Caenorhabditis elegans: one gene and its partner. The protein of the gene in region 1 interacts with the protein of each later gene in a pairwise test. Each region holds a gene or a part of one and is shown in the gene's direction. Other genes may lie near its edges. The genes, in order: mef-2 and hda-4.

What was found.
Region 2: the proteins of mef-2 (region 1) and hda-4 interact in a two-hybrid assay, tested with the Caenorhabditis elegans proteins (one study listed by BioGRID).

The regions. Positions count from the first base shown.
Region 1 is NC_003279.8:9,093,000-9,103,474, forward strand, and holds mef-2 (MEF2 transcription factor homolog), read left to right. Parts: upstream 1-2,957; 5' UTR 2,958-3,012; coding exon 3,013-3,066; intron 3,067-5,443; coding exon 5,444-5,556; intron 5,557-5,608; coding exon 5,609-6,025; exon of another isoform or gene 6,026-6,073; coding exon 6,074-6,297; intron 6,298-6,844; coding exon 6,845-7,059; 3' UTR 7,060-7,863; downstream 7,864-10,475. Other genes in the region: E3 SUMO-protein ligase gei-17, read right to left, coding at 8,176-8,234, 8,839-9,004, 9,266-9,403, 9,642-9,898, 10,000-10,313. UniProt on the Caenorhabditis elegans protein: Transcription regulator. Binds specifically to the MEF2 element, 5'-[TC]TA[AT][AT][AT][AT]TA[AG]-3' in the regulatory elements of target genes, such as chemoreceptors str-1 and srh-234.
Region 2 is NC_003284.9:16,725,824-16,733,812, forward strand, and holds the start of hda-4 (Histone deacetylase 4), read left to right. Parts: upstream 1-3,735; 5' UTR 3,736-3,739; coding exon 3,740-3,880; intron 3,881-4,744; exon of another isoform or gene 4,745-4,877; intron 4,878-7,989. UniProt on the Caenorhabditis elegans protein: Responsible for the deacetylation of lysine residues on the N-terminal part of the core histones (H2A, H2B, H3 and H4).

The DNA.
Region 1 (10,475 bases):
GCCTGCCTGCCTGCTGCCTATTCGTCTGAGTGTTGTAATCTGAATTTGTTCTAAGTTGTCACTTTAAAATCTGAAAAAGTACAACATTTTTTAACGTTTATTCCGGAAGTAGGCAGGCATGTAGGCACGATACAGCCTCCTTGCTTGAGTTGATGACAACCAACAAAATCTGTATAATGCTAAAGAAGACTCCGAAAACTTCTCAATTGCCAAAAGTCTTCACTTCCGTCTCACAATGACGTGGATTCCCATATGATTTCCATGCTAATCCAATCCAGCAGTTTATATATCTTTAATCTCTTTTCAGAAATTTCCTATTTTAAGCTCACATTCAAACTTTCAGGTGAAATTTAAAATTCTGAGATATACTCAGGTCAAGATATTTTTTTCAACCAAAATTTATCCTCAGTTTTCTTTGATTTTTTGACATGGACATTTTCGAGATATCCGAGATTTCTCAAATGTAACCGAATATCTTCTTTCTCTTTTTTTCTAAATTTCTCTGTGTTTCTTTTATTTTCTCATTCTTCTCATCTCAAGCAAAAAATCGGTATTTCATTTGACTTTTATTGATTGATAATATATATGATTAGACACGGAAGAAGAGAAAATTAATGCCTAAAAAATGTATCTTCATCTCTTCAACTTATTCACTATCTCATCATTTGGGGGGTCATTTCATATCACATCTGAAGCTCCGCCCACTTTTTGTTTTTCACCTATTCGTCTCATTTTTGGACTAATCAACGCCTCACAATGTGGCAAATTTTTGAATAATTTTCAATGTTTTGTGGAATAAAAAATAATTACCAAAATATAAACCCCGATTTAAAGATTAAGTCTAACATGAATCTAAAATTTCGTAAATAAATTTCAATATTTCATTCAAAATCTAAATGTCTACGTCATCAATGTTCGTTCCGATTTTATAGTTTTATTGGCGTTGCTTTTTTGAGTCAACGCATTGCGTATTTATGTCCAAAAATTTTGTGCTCAACCATTTTGGAAAATTTTGCAAAGTTCCCCTCCGGGATCAACGTCAATCAGAAGTTGCTCTCGCAGCTCCAAAACCAAGAAAAAATTGTCGCTAATCTTTTTGGTGTAATGCATTTTTCTCCTCTTTTTTCTATCATCTTTTCAATTTTTCAAAAGACCGTTTGAAGTTTTTGAACCAAAAGTTCAGTAGGCCGAGTTAGGCTTTTCAGCTCTCCATCCGCCGGGGCGTGGAAAGAGGCGGTTGGGAGGCCCCACATTACACCTCGTGGACTATTTTGAAGTTCATAAAGGAAAAGTTTCTAAAGAAGTTTTCGAACAAAATAATACATGAATTTTCTACAATTTTTCACAAAAATCTAGGAAAATAAAACAAAAGAATATGATTCAATCAATGATATTTTTTTCTTGTCATTTCATCCTCTTTCTCTCAAACTCTTTTCCACAACATTTTTCCCGATTTTTTCAACTAGCAAATCATGTGTCTTCTCAATCTTTCCCTCTTCATTTTTTTGTCACTTCTGAAAATGAGAAAACTGCGGGCAAGAAAACTGAAAATTTGATTAAAATTGAAGATAATAAGTTTTTTGGTGTTTAGGAGAAATTTTGAGAAATTAGTGAATAAATTGTGAAAGGTTTGTGTGACATGACCACTATCAAAAGATTTAATCTTTTCTCGATTGACAAGTTACTGTAGGTTTCTGCTAATGGGTCATGGGGTACTTATATGGTGTTAAGTAATCATTGGCAGGTAGTCCCTGTTGGATCTCCTGAAACCGTGGATAAGCGTAGTTTTGAGAAAGTCTAGAAAAAGTCTGAATCCGTTCTCCAAAGCGTTACAGTGCGAGATTTGCCGTCATAGTGTTCACACCTCACCTACCGTTTTCCTTTTTCTAAGGCGTATATTTTCCGTGAAGGCAAGAAGGCAGGCTCGTGTAATTCGTACCTTCGGAACTGCCTAACTTTGACTGCTGCATAAGTTTTGACTGCGTAAGGAAAATCATGTTTTGATTTCATCGGTATGATCTCACAATAATTACCTAGAATACACTCTTCGTATTTCCAACGTTGCTTTTAATAAGTAATATGAATACTCTTACTTAAACAAAACCGAATATGAATGTGTTGTCAACAGAGGATTTTGCAAGAGATTTGAATGTCATGTGGCATTAATATAGATTATGAAAAATCATGGTAACCTCCAGAGATTCTATTGGTAATAAATGAGCCACAAGTCTGAAGTATTGGTAGTTATCGATTAATGTGGTTTAACATCAGAAAATTGTGATTCTTCTGGCGGGGTCAGTCGAGAGAAACTGATTCAAAGAGAATCCACAAAAAGATTTGTGGAATTTCAAAAGTTGCAAAATCTTAAAATAATATTTGATGTCGTACTATAACTTGGTAATAAACTAAAACACGGAAAATTCTTCTTATCAGAACTGTGAATTGATCTAGTTTCGACCTCTTATCATCATCTTTTCGTATTCCATCTAATTCTCTCTTCTTCCCTAAAGCCCCGCCTCCTTTTCCGGGGAGAGTAATGGGCGGAGCTAGTTGTCTCCACGAATATTTGGTCATTTTCTGTTCTCAATTTATTTTTTTGGTCTCTCTTCATGATAATCAAAAATGTAACATTATTCATCAATTCATCTTGAAACTTCTGGATTCGTCTGTGTCTCTCTGACTCAATCTCTATCTCAATTTTCTATTTGTTTTTGATGATCATCAGTGGTCACGGGTACTCTCTCTCTCCCTTTTTCATTTATTTTTTCACATTTTCTCGCCATCTCATCGTCTGCGTCTCAATTTTTCTCAATCTTTAACTCTGTTTCTCGATTCATAACACCTCTCTTTTCGTTTCTCCATGCAGTTTTCTGTGTTCTGGTTTCACCCGCAATTTTTTCTCATTATATGGATCTGAAAATCTGTTTTTTTCTGAAATTAAAATTTATTTTATTAAGGTTCTCCCCGCTTGCAAAAATTCAAGGTTCGAGTAATCGTTACGTGAAGACGGCGATGGGTCGCAAGAAAATTCAAATCACCAGGATACAAGATGAGAGAAATCGACAGGTTGGTTTTTTTGCTTTTTTTTTGTTGAAAAAAAAAATTAAAAATTTGTTAGTTTAAATTTTTTTTTTACAATACGTTTGCTAAAAACAAGTGACTTTCTTTTTTTGCTATCAAAATTTGCTTCAGCAGATTTCGAAGTTTTATAAAATTTGACAATTTTTTTGGCTTCTAGTGAACAAAATTTTTAGGCAATAGCAAGCTTTACAATAATTTAATTTTTATCAAAAAATTGTCAGAACATTTATGAACATTTTCTTTTTCTGAAAGAAAAATAAACAACAAATTGAGATAATCTTTATTCCGTCGTCTGATCCTAGTATATTCATTTTAAATCTCATGATACCTGGAAATTAGTATTTGTTTTTTATGACCCTTTTTCTTCTAGAACTTAATTTTCAACAAATTTAGAAATTCATAGGTTCTTTTGAAATTATAAAATTATTTAATGAATGTCATCTGCTGAAAAATCTATAATTCTACAATAAATCCTTTTTTGTGGTAAATTCAAAACTTTGAAAAATAATTCGAAAAACATCAAGGTACTTTCTTGACAAATTAACATGTTTTTGCCTTTCGTTTTCTCAAAAACTTGAAAATCTTTTAGTCATTTGTCAAAAAATCGTTCATTTCTCTCACCAATCTTGTGATTGTCACGTGGAAAACTGTGAGAAGTGGAGAATTCCTTTCGTTGAGGAATAAGATTAATGATTATTGCGGTATGGAGTAGGTGGTCGTGGTGTGTTGTGTGATGATCTAAAGTACAGTAATCTACAGTAATTTTCAATTTGGAAATTTAAGTTGGAATATTGCCAGATGTGCTAAAATTGCAGTAGTATCATATTAAAACTTTTGCGAACATTTTTTAAATTTCATCGATAGATTTTGCAAGCCAGCCAAAAAATGCTATGACTTTTATATTTTAGTTTTTTGATAATTTGCACATTGTAGGTATACGAACCTGCCCAAATTACTCAAATCCAGATTTTCTGAAATTTCGGTAATTTGCCAAAAGTTTTAGAGGGTTTAATTAATTCGAAGTAGATTTTTGACCCATTTTTCATCGCATAAAATATGAGTTTTAGGAAATTTGACTTTGAAATATCGAAATAATGATTAATGTTAACAATAGACTATAATGTTAATAAGATGTGTTCATACTCCAATCATTTTCCGGTTACAATAATATTCCCTAAGTGTTTTTTTCGAGAGCTCTAGGATTTATTGAATTTTTTAAATCTTTCAATTTTTTCGCCAACTTTTCTATTGTCGGAAAATGAGTTTAACATGCATGTTGCTGCAAAATGTTAATTTTTCAAGCTCCAGCTGTCTTAAACCTCGAAGGTTAGATCTTCAAAAACTTGGTTAATTGTTGATTGAGTTGTGCAAGAAAATTTCTGAAAATTTTTAACTTGCCTGTTGCTCACTGAATTTAAGTTCCGTATAAGTGACTTAACTTTTCCAATCATTCTAGGACATTTCCATGTTGAAAAGGTCACCATTTCCTTTCTCATTTTTTTCATAAAGGAATCTGAAGCATAAAAGTCCTTGTGCTCTTTTTTTTTCTCCACCCGCCTCCTCTTTCTTCGCCTTCTTCTTCTTTTCATGCTCTTCAGATGACGTCATCAACGCGTCGTCGCCATCTATCTCTCTCTCCACCTCTCACACAATCTCTCGTCTCTGACGACATCGAGCCAAGAGAGCCAGAGAGCACATAGAATCGAGAGATTTCAGATTGAAAAGAGAGGAAAAAACAAGTTTGTTTCTCTATCTCTGTCACTCTCTCTTCTTGATGATAGGAGAGCCTGAAAAAGCAGGCAAAGCGAAACGAAAAAAGGAGGGGGCGACTATTTTTAGAATCGATACAGCACCAAAATAGAATAATGACGACGGAATTGGAAACTGATGAACTGAAATAAAAGACATTAGAGAGAATTAAAGAAAAATATGAAAACAGCTGGAACTCCTTAATTAATTAATGCTGCTGCTCAAAATAAGCGTGGGTGGAGAATAACAAATGAGCTGGGTCCTAATTAGATTTTATTAGAAAAAAATAGAAAAATTCATTAGCAAAATTAGAAATAAATTTGCAGGCCTATTTAGGGAAAGATGAACACGTGTTTTTGGTTCTATTGGGTTTTCTCCAGAAAACTCAGTGTGCTTTTGCTAATTTTGAGGTTAGGAGCAAACATTGACCAATCAGGGAACACCGGGTGGGTGTGGCCATGATTGCTGATTGGTCAAGACAACACTTTTTTTTTAGAAATGACCGACATATCATTATTATTAAAAAGAATCAATTTGAGAAATCCTTTTTAGAAAAGAAAAACATTCAAAAAAAGCAAATGAAAATATGCAAATTTCTATGTTAATATTTCAGGTGACATTCACCAAACGAAAGTTTGGATTGATGAAGAAAGCCTACGAATTATCGGTTCTCTGTGATTGTGAGATTGCACTCATCGTCTTCAACTCAACTAACAAACTATTTCAGTAAGTTTTAATTGAATTGGGATGCTAGATATTAAAATAATAACAATTTCAGATATGCCTCAACTGACATGGATAAGGTATTGTTGAAATACACTGAATACAATGAACCTCATGAATCCCGTACTAATAATGACATCATGGAAGCCTTGAATCGAAAAGAAGGCAATCAGGGAGGCGGAAATTCGGATGATGAAAGCCCTGGACCATCAACATCACCTGTCATTCAAATAACAATGCCTGCTGTTGTTAATGGACATAGTTCTAATAATTCGGTGGCTTCTGCAGCTTCTGCTTCTGCTGCCGCTGTTGCAGCAGCAGCAGCCGCAGTTGCAGCAGTTGAGGGAACATCTTCGGGTGCGGCTGCTGCAGCGGCTGCACTACAAGCATCAAATGCTCAACGACATCATAATTTGAACTTGTACCAGAATTTGATATTTAATCCCAACTACACTCGCCATTTGAACCAAAGGTACGGTTTTTGAATATTTTGGTATATTTTTCATGTATTTATTTCCAGAAATGATCCTCTGTCCTCTACATCTGTTGCTCCTTCCTCATCCTCATCAAAACATCTCGATTTTCCTCCATCAACTTCATTTGCCTATGACACGTCACGCCTTCATCCAATTGCCGCTGCTGATGCTGATTGTGATCTTGTACCATCATCAAGAGCTGCAGCTGATCAAAATATTTGGTCATCTGCATTACAACAACGCCCTGTTTCACAGCCTGCACCTAGTAGTAAGTTTGTGGAAATTAATTTTTACAATATCAGGCTTAGGCTTAGAACCTATCAATTTCAATGCGCAAGTAATGAACAAAACTAATTTTTTGGCACAAATAGGAAATAGGGATTAGAAATAAATGGTGGATATAACAGAACGCATTTTAACCGATTCATAGTCGGCATCCTAAGTTCGAACGCCAGAAGAACATACTAGGCTTTACTAAAATTTTAAAATATCTCTTCGGAGTTTTTTTTTCAAGTGTTAGATGAATTTTTGGTAGAAAAACTGATAAAAGAAAATTTCGGCTACTTTTGGAAAAACTTCTAAGATCTCGTGCATAAACGGTTTCCCAAAAAAGAAGTTCAAGTAGTATATACTCATATATTCACAAGGTCATTTCTATTATTAAAACTTTGAATCTATTCCCGGCCATTGAAATTTTGGAAAATATGGGTTAGGTACAAATGCATCACAGAGTTCATCGAATCAATTGTGGTTTTAGAAAAATGGGAAGAATATATAAATTTAAATTCAAAAAATTATTATTTTCTATTTTACAGTAAGCAATTCATCAACAAACGGAATCTCAAACGGAACTTCATCACTCTTATCTCCAAATGTCAGCTCATTAAATGGTCATTCAGTATTAGATTTAGGTGGTCCAAATCTACCATATAAATTGGATCCAAATACATATGTCAAAATGGAACCACATTCACCACCTGAAAAACGTCCAAGAATTACAACAGAGTGGAGACCACAGCAATTGACTTGATAACTTCTTGTTAAATTTTTATTTTTAGCTGTCTGTCACTATTGTTTAATTAAGAGATGAGACGACGCTCCTTTTTGCAACTATTTGTAATTCATTCCGGAGTTCGCAGAATTTTACTATTTTGAAAATATTTTTGTGCAATTTCCGACCCAGAAATACGGTACGCGGTCTGCCCGTGTTCAAGGATTACTGTAGTCTCTCGCTCCACATGTTTTTCTCGTTTACTTGAATTTCCCCCATTTTCCTCACGTTTCGCCCTGTTGTCGAAGTGGAGTGCAACACTACAGTACTCTTTAAAGGTCTTCCCCGTGCATCTCATTTGGTATGCCGATCGTGTCGAGACCGTTTACCGTAATTTTGCATTAGAGCGTTGTTTTATTTCGAAATTTTTGTGATTCAAGACATAAAACTTCCTCTCCGACATTCCACGTATTGCTCCTCTTCTTTTTTTTTAAATTTATCTCTGCAAACGTGCTCAATTGTTAATTTTCGATGGAGCCCGTATGCATAAAGACAAAAATCCAAAAAATTTTGATATTTTCATGTTCTGAAGAAAAAAACATAAAATGCGGGTATTCTTCTCTCATTTTTTATTTGTTTTTATTTTTCCTATATTTATTTTATTTTTCATTCTTTCATTTTTGTCTCTCTCTCTTGTGATTTCTCCCTGTATTTTTCCCCCTAGTCTTCTCACTGATTCGGTAGTTTTTTCTCTCAAAAATGTTCCCATTTCGCCACCCCGGTCTAATTATTATAATTGATTATTTGTTCTTTAAAACAAATATGTATAAATAAATCGATTCATTGGAGAACAAATGCATCCATTTAAATGGAAAAAAATATGGTATCAGGAAAGCCGCATGGCCTAGATTCTTACAATTTCTAGGCCACTTGTGCATTTTCACGGCTGTGGAAAAACATCGGATGAAATGGATGGAAAACTAGAAACACGATTTGGGGGCTCGATTTGAAAATTAAAACATATTGAACAAAAATCACGGAGAGAAATGTGAGATATTTGATTGGGTCGGTTGAAGTTCCGAACATTAAATTAAAGCCAAATTAACTCAAAAAAAAAACAAAAGAATGAGATTAAGCAGTATGATTGGAAATCAATCAATTCTGACGATACTGCTGCTGCGGGTATTGTGGAGGATAATATGCAAATGCACCACCTGAAACTTTGAATATTGAAAATCTAATTTTTAAATAAAAATCTAAAATTAGTGGATTGTGTTTTTCAATTGTATTTAAAAGATTGCATACAGGATACTCAGCTTCATTTAACAAAAACATTACCGTCACAAAATTCTAGTTAAAGTTCATCGAATCAGCCGTATAATGCAGACAAATATAACTTACTAGACTAAAGCACAAGCAGGATTCTGTTAAAAATTGTAAATCGTGGATATGGGTAAAAGATGCACATAAATCAAATGAACTAGACGGCACAAAAAATACAATTCATGCATTAATTCCGTGAGCCACGTGGATTGCGCATAGTGACTCCTGAGTGATCGATCATCAGGTGTCCATTTACCAAAAGTCGAGATGCATTTGCTTGTATTTCAGCCATGGAAAGAATTCGTGGTGGTTGGATGTTATTGGTGTCACCTGAAAGTGAGGCCAAACCAAGTAAGGGAAATAAATATATATTTGCATGCAGGATGGTTGCAATTACACAACAAGTTTACTCGCTATTAACTGAAGATCGTGAAGTGATTGTTTTGATGTTTAAACATAATATACAAAAACTTTGTAAGGTGTACAAAAAATTACCGTTTGACATTTGCTGTTGAGCATAAAAAGACGGAGACATGATTTGTGGTGACTGCTGCTGCTGTTGTTGCTGCTGAAGATGGTGCTGCTGCATATGAACCATTTGATTGTTTCGCCCTATGAGCCCGTTTTGCATTTGGAAGTGTGGTGCCTGGTTTATCATTGGCTGAAAACGAGAGTTCAATTTTTAAAAAATTTTGAAAAATATTTGTTAAGTTTATAATTCCAGACGTAAAACTAGTGCATTTTTTTCAATTCGACAGAATTCTAGTGCAGTGGACAATCATCTAAGTATCTTATCCAATTAATAGGGGCTTGAACAAAGAAAAAAAAGAGATTAAAACAGGATTTTTTTGTTCTGTCGTTATGAAAAAATATCACTAGAGTATTAGTGCGTGTGGTAGACTATTAACACGTGCTGGCATACCGAATATCCGTATTGTGATGTAGGTGTTTGAGATCCTGAAGAGGGATTCATATAAGATGATTGAGCAAAATTCAATGGATGTGTCGTATGGTGAAGTTGAACAAGCGGAGATGATTGTGTTGATGAATTTGCTGACTGCTGCAACAAACAGACAGTTTAGTGAGTGTGGACAGGGAGAAGCAGATGTTAGTTTAACAATATCATATAATAATATAATCAAATATATAATTCAATCTTTGTATTAGTTTTGGTTAAAAACGGATAAGTTATAACTAGAATACTGATTTCAGTCAAATTAAGAACAAATCCTCTTAAAACTATGGAAAATAACTAACAATATTGGCTCTTTTGAAGATTTGTGTTTTTCTGAACTTACTTCTCCTATTTTGTTCAGCGCATCCCGGATAGTTTTACTTGCACCCTCGTTCATTCCCATTTGCGTTGAGGCCATTCCAGATGGAGATGAGCCAACTGGCATTTGATTCTGTTGAGACATCTGACGCATTGGAAGATTTGCACTTGCAGCTACTGGACGAGGTGGTGTATCATCGAGAGTAATAATCTCTATGTCATCGTCTTTCGTCTTCTTTTTCTGCTGTGGTGGTGTCTTTTGAGCAGCCAATTCTGCGGAAGCTGAAATAAGATTTGAATTTCAAGTGAATACTTTTAATTGATATTGCTAGAAACTGCAATATTCTCAGCTTGTCTCACACCACGCCATTTGAATAGCAAACCTGTGTGTCTGCCAGGAGAGAAGCTGTCGTTCAGAGAGTTCATTATACCTCTGTTCAATTCCTCATCATCGTCATCACTCAAGGTAATTATGTCGTCGTCAGCTGGTTTTTTCTTCGCTGCTTCATTTGCAAGTCCATTGCCATTTGTCGAAGAGCATGACGCTGTACCGTTAACAGTAGCAGGTACAACGTCATCGTCGTCATCATCTGAGATGCAAAAAGCTTCTTCCTTGATAACATCGTACGAGCCATCTTCCTTAAGTTCAACTTCCGTCGTATTCTTATCCACCTTTGCAAGCATATCGAGGAAATAACTGAAAGATGAAACAATATTTGCATAGTCTCAGAACATTGCTTTTTATTTTGATATTTGAATATTTCTTAAATAAAATGTTGAATTGGGTAACGTCTAAGCAGTTTCTCAGGCATTTCCGTGACTAAAAAGTATTTTCCAATTAAGAAAACGAGCGAATAGT
Region 2 (7,989 bases), on another chromosome or scaffold:
CGCAAAAGCTGGCAAAAAAGATTCTAAATGAATTCAGATCCTTTTTTTCAAGATTAGAAATGTTTAAAGATCCATTCTTGGCCATTAAAAAATCGGTAAGACATGGATCATAATGTGAAAAAGTTAAAAACGACAAATTTCAAAATATGGTCAGATTTTTATTTAAAGGCCAGTGGGGAAAATGCTAAAAACTACTTTTATAGTGCCAAAATGACCGAATTTCATAATAAAACGTTTCAACAATTTTTTCAATACTTTTTATTCACGATAAAAAAATGTCAATCAGTTTTTGTCACTCATAATTTTGGAAGCCGAGCAAAAAAATTTGTTTTTTCCTACATTTTTTAACACTGTAATGTTGTTTTAATTATTTGTATTGAAATATTGTAGGGGCCCGAACATGCGACATTGCTTTGGGTTTCCTCAGAAACTCACATTTTCCCAAACTTTGCCAAAACTTTGACCGGAAATTATAAAAAATCTGAATTTTTTTGGAGTGTTTTATTATGATATTTAGTCGTTTTGGATCATTATAAATGTGTTTGGACCAAATCCCAATTGGCGCCACTCCACCTTTAAAGACATTTTTGCAAAAACCTTGTTGTTTTTTACAGTTTCATTAAGGTCCATTTTTAATGAACATTTTAACATTTGGTCCGTTGGGGCCACTTTGTTTATTGTATAAAAAGATCAATTTGACGCTACTACACAAATCTAAAAATGTTCTTTCAAAAAGATTCGTCGTTGAAAAATAACTAATTTGAACTGCATTTATTGCAGGTTTTAGTTATAAACACGTCCACATAGGATTTTACTGATATTATCATTTCATCATTATAACTGTGAAATTACCGTTTTTTTTTTGAAAATTGTGGTGTTGTCTCACGTGTCGAACAAAAAAACTATCATGTTATTTTTGGAATTTTCCAACACCGAAATTTGCAATCTTAATTGATATGTATTTATGTAGATCTCTCAAATGTTTGGGGTGGTCTGGATTGTTGATGGCGTGTGTATGTGTATGTGTGCCCCTTCTCCTCCTTCTTCTAGTCTATTTTCGTCTCATCGTACGTCCTGTCCCTCTGACTGCGTCTCTCATTCTCCGACACTCTTCTATGTGCATCTATCGGGGGGCGCCCCGTGTTTCTCTTTCTCGGCGAGTGAGTATTTGGTGAGTGTTTGTGTGTGTGTGTGTGTGTGTGAGCGAGAAGGCTCCCCCCAATGTTCTCGCCGCTCTCTTCACTCCCGCACACTATCAGCCATTGCGCCCCACCGTCGTGTCTGCGTCTCGACGTCTCAGACCAAATGTCTGACGCTCTCACAACCAACGCTACCTCAGTCTATATCTCTTGTGACACTCTCTTCACTCTTAACTTGGCTTCATTATTGAAAGTGATGCGATGGTTATCATCTGTTAATTTGAGATTTAATTACTCGTTACCGTAAAGGTCATTATTGTTGTAAAACGTTTAATATATAATTTGTTATCACCTCTACTTTTTAAATTACGTTTTTTTATTTTATTTTTATCATTAGTGTAAAACAAAAAGTTAAAATATAAATACTGATGTACTTCAGTAGACTTCAAATTTTGTTAAACTCATTCTGAACTGTAACCATATTTTGAAAAGAGCCAATAATTTTATATACTTTATTTTTGAATTTACTTTAACACTGTAATTTTTTGCAGAAGAGTTTAATAATTTTATAGGAATTTTCAATGGGAGAAAAATACTGTGTTGAAATTTTTTTAGAATGTTAAAAACTCATTTGAAACAATAACATTTTCTGTCATATTATAATAGTTTTAAAAGGTTGAATACTTTTAGCAATATATATTTTTAATTTCATTGCTTTTTCCAATATACGAACATTTTTAATTTGATTTATCAGTTAGATGTACAAAGTCATTATTTTATTAAGATTATTCAGATTATAGTATTTTACACCAAAAATTACATTTGGTAGCCTTAGTTAGAGAATAATATCAGAGTTCAGTTATAAACTTCACATTTTTCTACCAATTTTGAGAAACGTTCTTTAAACTCAAAAAAAAAAACGCAATCCAAAATCAGAATATTACGTTCAAATCGAAATATACCCTTTGAGGATTTTTTTCAAATGTTTTATCATAAACCATACATTTTGCAAGTAACTTTTCGTCGTGCCGATTTGTTTCTGATCTTTAGAAATTGATAATTTTAATGTTGATAAAAATTATATTTTACTTCTCTTCAAATCAGTTTCTGAAAACTAGAATCGAGAATTGATCGTTTCTTTTCACGGCGGATTCTGTGTCTCATTTCTCCAATTGGAATTGAATAGCTAACATAATGCGGACTCTTTCTCTGTCAGCATCAAAAAGTTTCTTTATATCTTCTCCTTTCTTTGGTCTTTCCCCCACTTTTTTTTCCGCAGCCCAATTCTCATTCCAACTTCTGATGTTGAATTTTGCATTGTGGTTGCTAGTTTCCAATTTTTACCTTTTTCTTGTTTTGCTAGAGTACATCTATGACGTACTTCGTCATAAATTACTGATGAGAGCTTCTGCGTCCGTTCAACACCTCCGCATTCCGGTGGTGAAATGAGATATTCTGCAAAAAGTAATTGAATATGAAATTTATAAACAATTAGGTTTTGAGGGGAAACTTTTGCTTCGGTTATTTGATTTCGGAAGGGGTAGACGATCTGTTCAAAGGTTTGTAAAATCATTGGACATTTTCGAGCAAAATTTAGAGTAAATCGGTGCATATTTTCTGAAAGTACAACAACCAAAAGTTCAAATTGATCTAACGGAGTATATAATTTGCTTTCACTGTTAGAGCTCAGTTTTTTTAACCAAAAATTACATTTCAAATGTTTATTTAGCGCCAAAGGATAATTCTGAACATTTTCAGTGCATCTTTCCAGTTTATTCGATTCCCTAAAAACCTGAAAAAAGTGACATTTTCCAAAAACAATTCAAATTAAATAAATTTATGCAAGTATTCAAAATGATTTTTATGTTTAGAAAACAATCATTTGTTGACGGTTTTTTGAAAAAAAACCATTTTTTAAAAGATTTGTTTCCTGTGTCCCACTAGAATGTTGAAAAAATAAGTTGTGTGATGAGCCAGAAAAGTAACAGAAGCTGAAGAGACCCCGACTTTTGCTCCTTTCCGACGACTCTTTTCATTTTTAAACTCTGTCGCGGGTGGTCTTTTCATCTTCCGAGGTAGCATTGTTTTGAAAACTTGCTTTAACACCATTTTTCTCCCATTCTTTTCACACCTTGCTCTGCACAAAACTCTTTGTTTTTTGTTTTTTTTTTGATTTTGGCTTGTTTCAGTCTTTGAGATTTTTATCTCTGTTCTAGTCTTCCATATGTGTAAAAAATATACAAACACAGAGGCTACGAGGCTATCAATAAATGATACCAGCTGTTATTATATCATTTCTTCTTGAAACCGGAGCTTCCTTTACACAATGCCGCAAATTCTTAGTTTCTACTTTCACACCTATCATGTTTTGAAAGGGCTTTTTTTGAAAATTGTTATACATAATAAATATTGCAACATCTCTCCTTCAAACATTTTAATTTTTTAATAACTTAACATACATTTATTTTTAATATAAGTGTATTGAACCTTCGAACATAAATTTTCAAACTAGAGTATATGCCAATTTATTTTCATAATTATATTCTGGCATCATCTATAACTCGGATCATTTTTAATATTGTTTCCATTTTTGCAGGCGTATGGAAGAAGCCAGCTCCTCAACGGGGAGCGCTGGTGGGGCTGGACCAAGTGTTCCCAACTTGCCATCAACATCAGAAGCTGCCATAGGACAGACGAATCTTGAGCCGGAAAGTATTGCTCTTCTTCAATCACAGCTTCAGGTGAGTCTATTTTTTTTATTGTATAACTTTCTAATCTGGATCTAACTTCTAGCATCAGTCAATTTTTGGCAAAAGTTTGTTATTTTTATTTAGCATCACAGTCTTTATTTTTAAGATTCATTTTTTGTAGATTCACCATAAATTCTATAAATGTTTTTTGAAAATTAAAAAAAATCAGAAATTGATTGGCTAGTTTTTGATTAAAAAAGTTGTGAAGAACTTGATAAACTTTGTTATTAAGTCTCTAAATAGTTGAAAATATTTTTTAAAAAACCTTGGCTAATATGACCGAATTGTTTTTTTTTTCAAAAAATAAAAGGAAAATAAAAAGAAATCTACATCCAATTAAACCGTTATCATCTTTAAAAACTGAAAAAAAATTTGTAATAAAATGAATGCGAATTTTCTAGATTTTTTGATGATTTTTTTTTGCAATTTTGAACAGAATAAAATAAAACTCGAACTTAGAGTTAGTATGTTTAGTTCACAGTAAAACAGCTGAAAATTTGGCAAACAATATTGCAAAAAAAAAACAACTAAATATTACCGGAAAATGCCTGATTTGCGCTAGGAATTTTAAACTAGTTAATTCATTCAAATAATTTTTTGCAAAATTGGAATCAAAAACTTTAAAAAATATATTAGGTCATTATGGCCCATTTTCTTAAATCTAAAAGAAAATCCCAATTGACTTTACCGTTAGCTTTGTATGTTCTACATAGCATCATAGCTCAAGTATTACGTATCGTTCCAAAATACATTCCCATCAGATGAGTGTATTTTCAGCTAGAAATAGTCCAATGACACACCCACTCTCTCTCTCTCTCTCTCATGCCTTTTTTTCTCTCTAAAAACGGGCGAAATGAAAGATAGGAGAAGAGGTTATTTCCGGATGTGTCGAAAATAGAAGCCTGGAAAACCTGACGATGTTGTTTGTCGGTGTTTATCGATGAGAAGAGGGGTACATCATGATGAAAGGAGAGAGAAAAAAGAAAAAAATGGAAGAGAAGGGGAAGGAAAAGCAAGAGCTTGAAAATAGTTACATTCTCTACTATTCTGCCTTTTTTCTATTTTTGTCTCCTGTTTTCCCATGTTTCTTGGAAATTTTTTTTCAGAAGGACACCTCTTTGAGTTTGTCGAATTTTAGATCGTTTCAAGGAAACAACTTGAAAAAATGCTCAAATCTCTTTTTTAATATAGATGTTGAATGAAAATTGAATACACGAAATATTTCACTATTTTTGAATTTAAAAAAATGCCTAACCAGTAGATAAAATAGCACTTTTCTTGACGGAAAATTTTCACTGAACTTGGGGGCTCAGATCTTAGAATTTTCATATTCTGCACAAAGTAAACAATATTGATTAATTTTTTTCATGTAAGTTCACAGTTTTTAAAAAAAGAATGTTTTGTACTTTATACTAACGTAGTGTCACAATTTTCCTATATTTTGAAATACTTTGTAGTTCAATGTCTCGTTCAATACTTCATAATAAATTCCTGTCTAGCCCCCTTCTTGGTTCTAGAATTTCAAAAATTCATCATCTTCTACGCACCTTCAAGCAGCCTTATTGCCATTTCAGAGATCAGTTCACGAGACGGCGAGACCAATTTCCGAAGAATTCTTTCCGTGTTGCGCAGAGCCGGTGAATTCCAAGTGAACTGGGACTCTGAGAAAGATCTCTTCATTTATATAAAACGCTGAAAAACACGAGTCCCGCGCTGGATTTTTTTTTCTAGCTAGCTATTTAATACTCGAAAATAGATTATTTTTTCGAATTTTGCCTTCAGTATCTTCCTTGTTAAGTATCATTAAACGGTACTTGTGTATTATATGCCTTTATCCCGAAGTTAAGTAAAATCTCAGTAAATTTCTCCAGTAATAGTTTTTTTAGTATTCTTCCTGTACCTAACACCCCTGCCCAGTAGCTCACCAAAACGTAAAACTACGTATTAATTTAATCTGATTCAATTTTGAAAGATACTATGTATCTACATACTATGACTAATCAAATTTCCAAATTTGATCGTTCAAACTCAACTTGACAGGTTTTTGATCAAGTAGACTAGACTCGCCTAATTAGTTTTTTTTTGTTGTGAAACCCGGTGTCTAGATATCATTTATCTAATGAACTTGATAACTCGTAGAGATAGAACAAGTTATTTTGGTGCAGTTTTTCATTGAAAAACTTCACAATAACGAAGGAATTCTGAAATGTTTTCAACAATTTAGGAAATTTCCACAATTTTGTAAACGAATTTTATTTTTGAAAAAATTTACAAATGTCGTTAAGGACTATTTTAAGTCTCTTCTAGCAATACTAACCTTATAAATTTGCCTGTCGATTGAACTTGACTATAGACTTTTTATGGATTACATTGAAGAGTAAACTATAATATTTTTTCTTTACTTCTTCCCCCGGCTCTCTCAGAATTTATCTATTTACAAAAAAGTTACATCTATACACTGACTTGACTCTAGTTTCCTTGTTTTCCAGCACCTCGTTTATATTTTTGTTTCTCGATAAAAGTGCATCGAACAAAAAACAAGATCTTTTGGCGACAAGTAATCCAAGTACTTCTGACCTCATTTAGCAGTGGTGACACTCATTTTTCTCGCCTCGTCAAAACATGATCGACCTCATGTGATAGAGGAAGCGATTTTGAGACATCAAGTAGCGGCAAAAAAAGCACATGCTTTTCGCCCCACTACTTTCTACTTTTTTTTTCTTCTTTCCGCTCCCAATTTTTTTCTTACTTCTTCTCATTCTCACACTCCAAAACACAAAGCTGATATCCCTCGACTTCTACACTACATATAAATGTTGTGTGTTTCCAACTCTCTCTCTATCTTCCTTTATCTCTGTGCATCGTCGTAGTGTCATCGTCGTGGGGGATTGCTCGTGTTTTTGCCGTGCTCCCATTGAAAATCTATTCATAGATATTAAAGATACTAGATGTTAGTTACCCATGCACGTCTTTTTCCTGTCCTCCTTCTCTTTCTCTCTCTCTCTCTTTTTCGTTTTGCTCTTCTCAACTTGTTGATAACACAAAAAACCACATTGCCCCAAAATAGGAACAAGGCAAGATTCAAAGATAAGAGATTTTTGTTTCCATTTTGGTAGAGTGTTTGTCACTTTTCAGTTTGTTCGTGGCAAGTTTTGTTTTTTTGGGCTTTTTTAAATACACTGAAGAAAAATGCACCGTTTGTGTAAACTGATCAATTGTACCTAATTTGTTTTTTGTAATAGTATAGCTCACACTTCACGGTCATCCTTGAAAAATTCAAACAGGAAGTTAAAGTTTAACTTTTAATAAGCCTATCAATATTTAACAATTAGACAACACATTTAGCTCATTTTTATTTTTGAGCTTCAACGTTGATTTTCATACCTTCTCTTTTATATTCAAAAAGTTCACGTTTTTAGATAGTGCACTTCAGTTGGCACAATGCATCGCACCTGAAATTAAAATCTGCCCTGAAATAGAGTCGAAATGCCTCAGCTCATTTCATTCGTAAAAAAAAACGTTATAATATTTAGACACCGTAACATATTTTTTTAAAAGATGAACAAAAAGCATTGTCATTATGCAAATCTCTAAATTTCCGTAGTTGTAAATTGCAAATGCACCATCTCTCACGTTTCTGAACTATGTTTATTTAAATAAAACAGTGATCTCAGATGCTCTCAAAGACGAGAAAGCGCCAAGTTTTTTTTTGATCAGACTGTACATTTTCAAAATTTGCTTTTCACTCGGAAAAGTTCATCTCCTTATTCTACATCACTTCCTGAGCGGACGGTACGAGGAGAAACTCGCGCCTCCTAAAAATAGTGTGCGCGCAGTTTTTGCGTCGATTTTGTGTTTGCCTTGGTTCTCACTCTCTCTCTTTCTCCACTTCCATCTGTATTCACCGTTTTTTCTAATATTTATGACGAGATCCACACAACGTTTTGTGTGTGTGTGTGTGTATATGGATGGTATCGATTTTTATCGGACAGTCCGAGACACAGCACACTGTTTTTTCCGCTTTTGTGTGTGTGTGTGTGCCTATGATGTGGAGCCAAAAGGCTTGTTGGTAAATACGGTGCAGAAATAACAGGAAATGC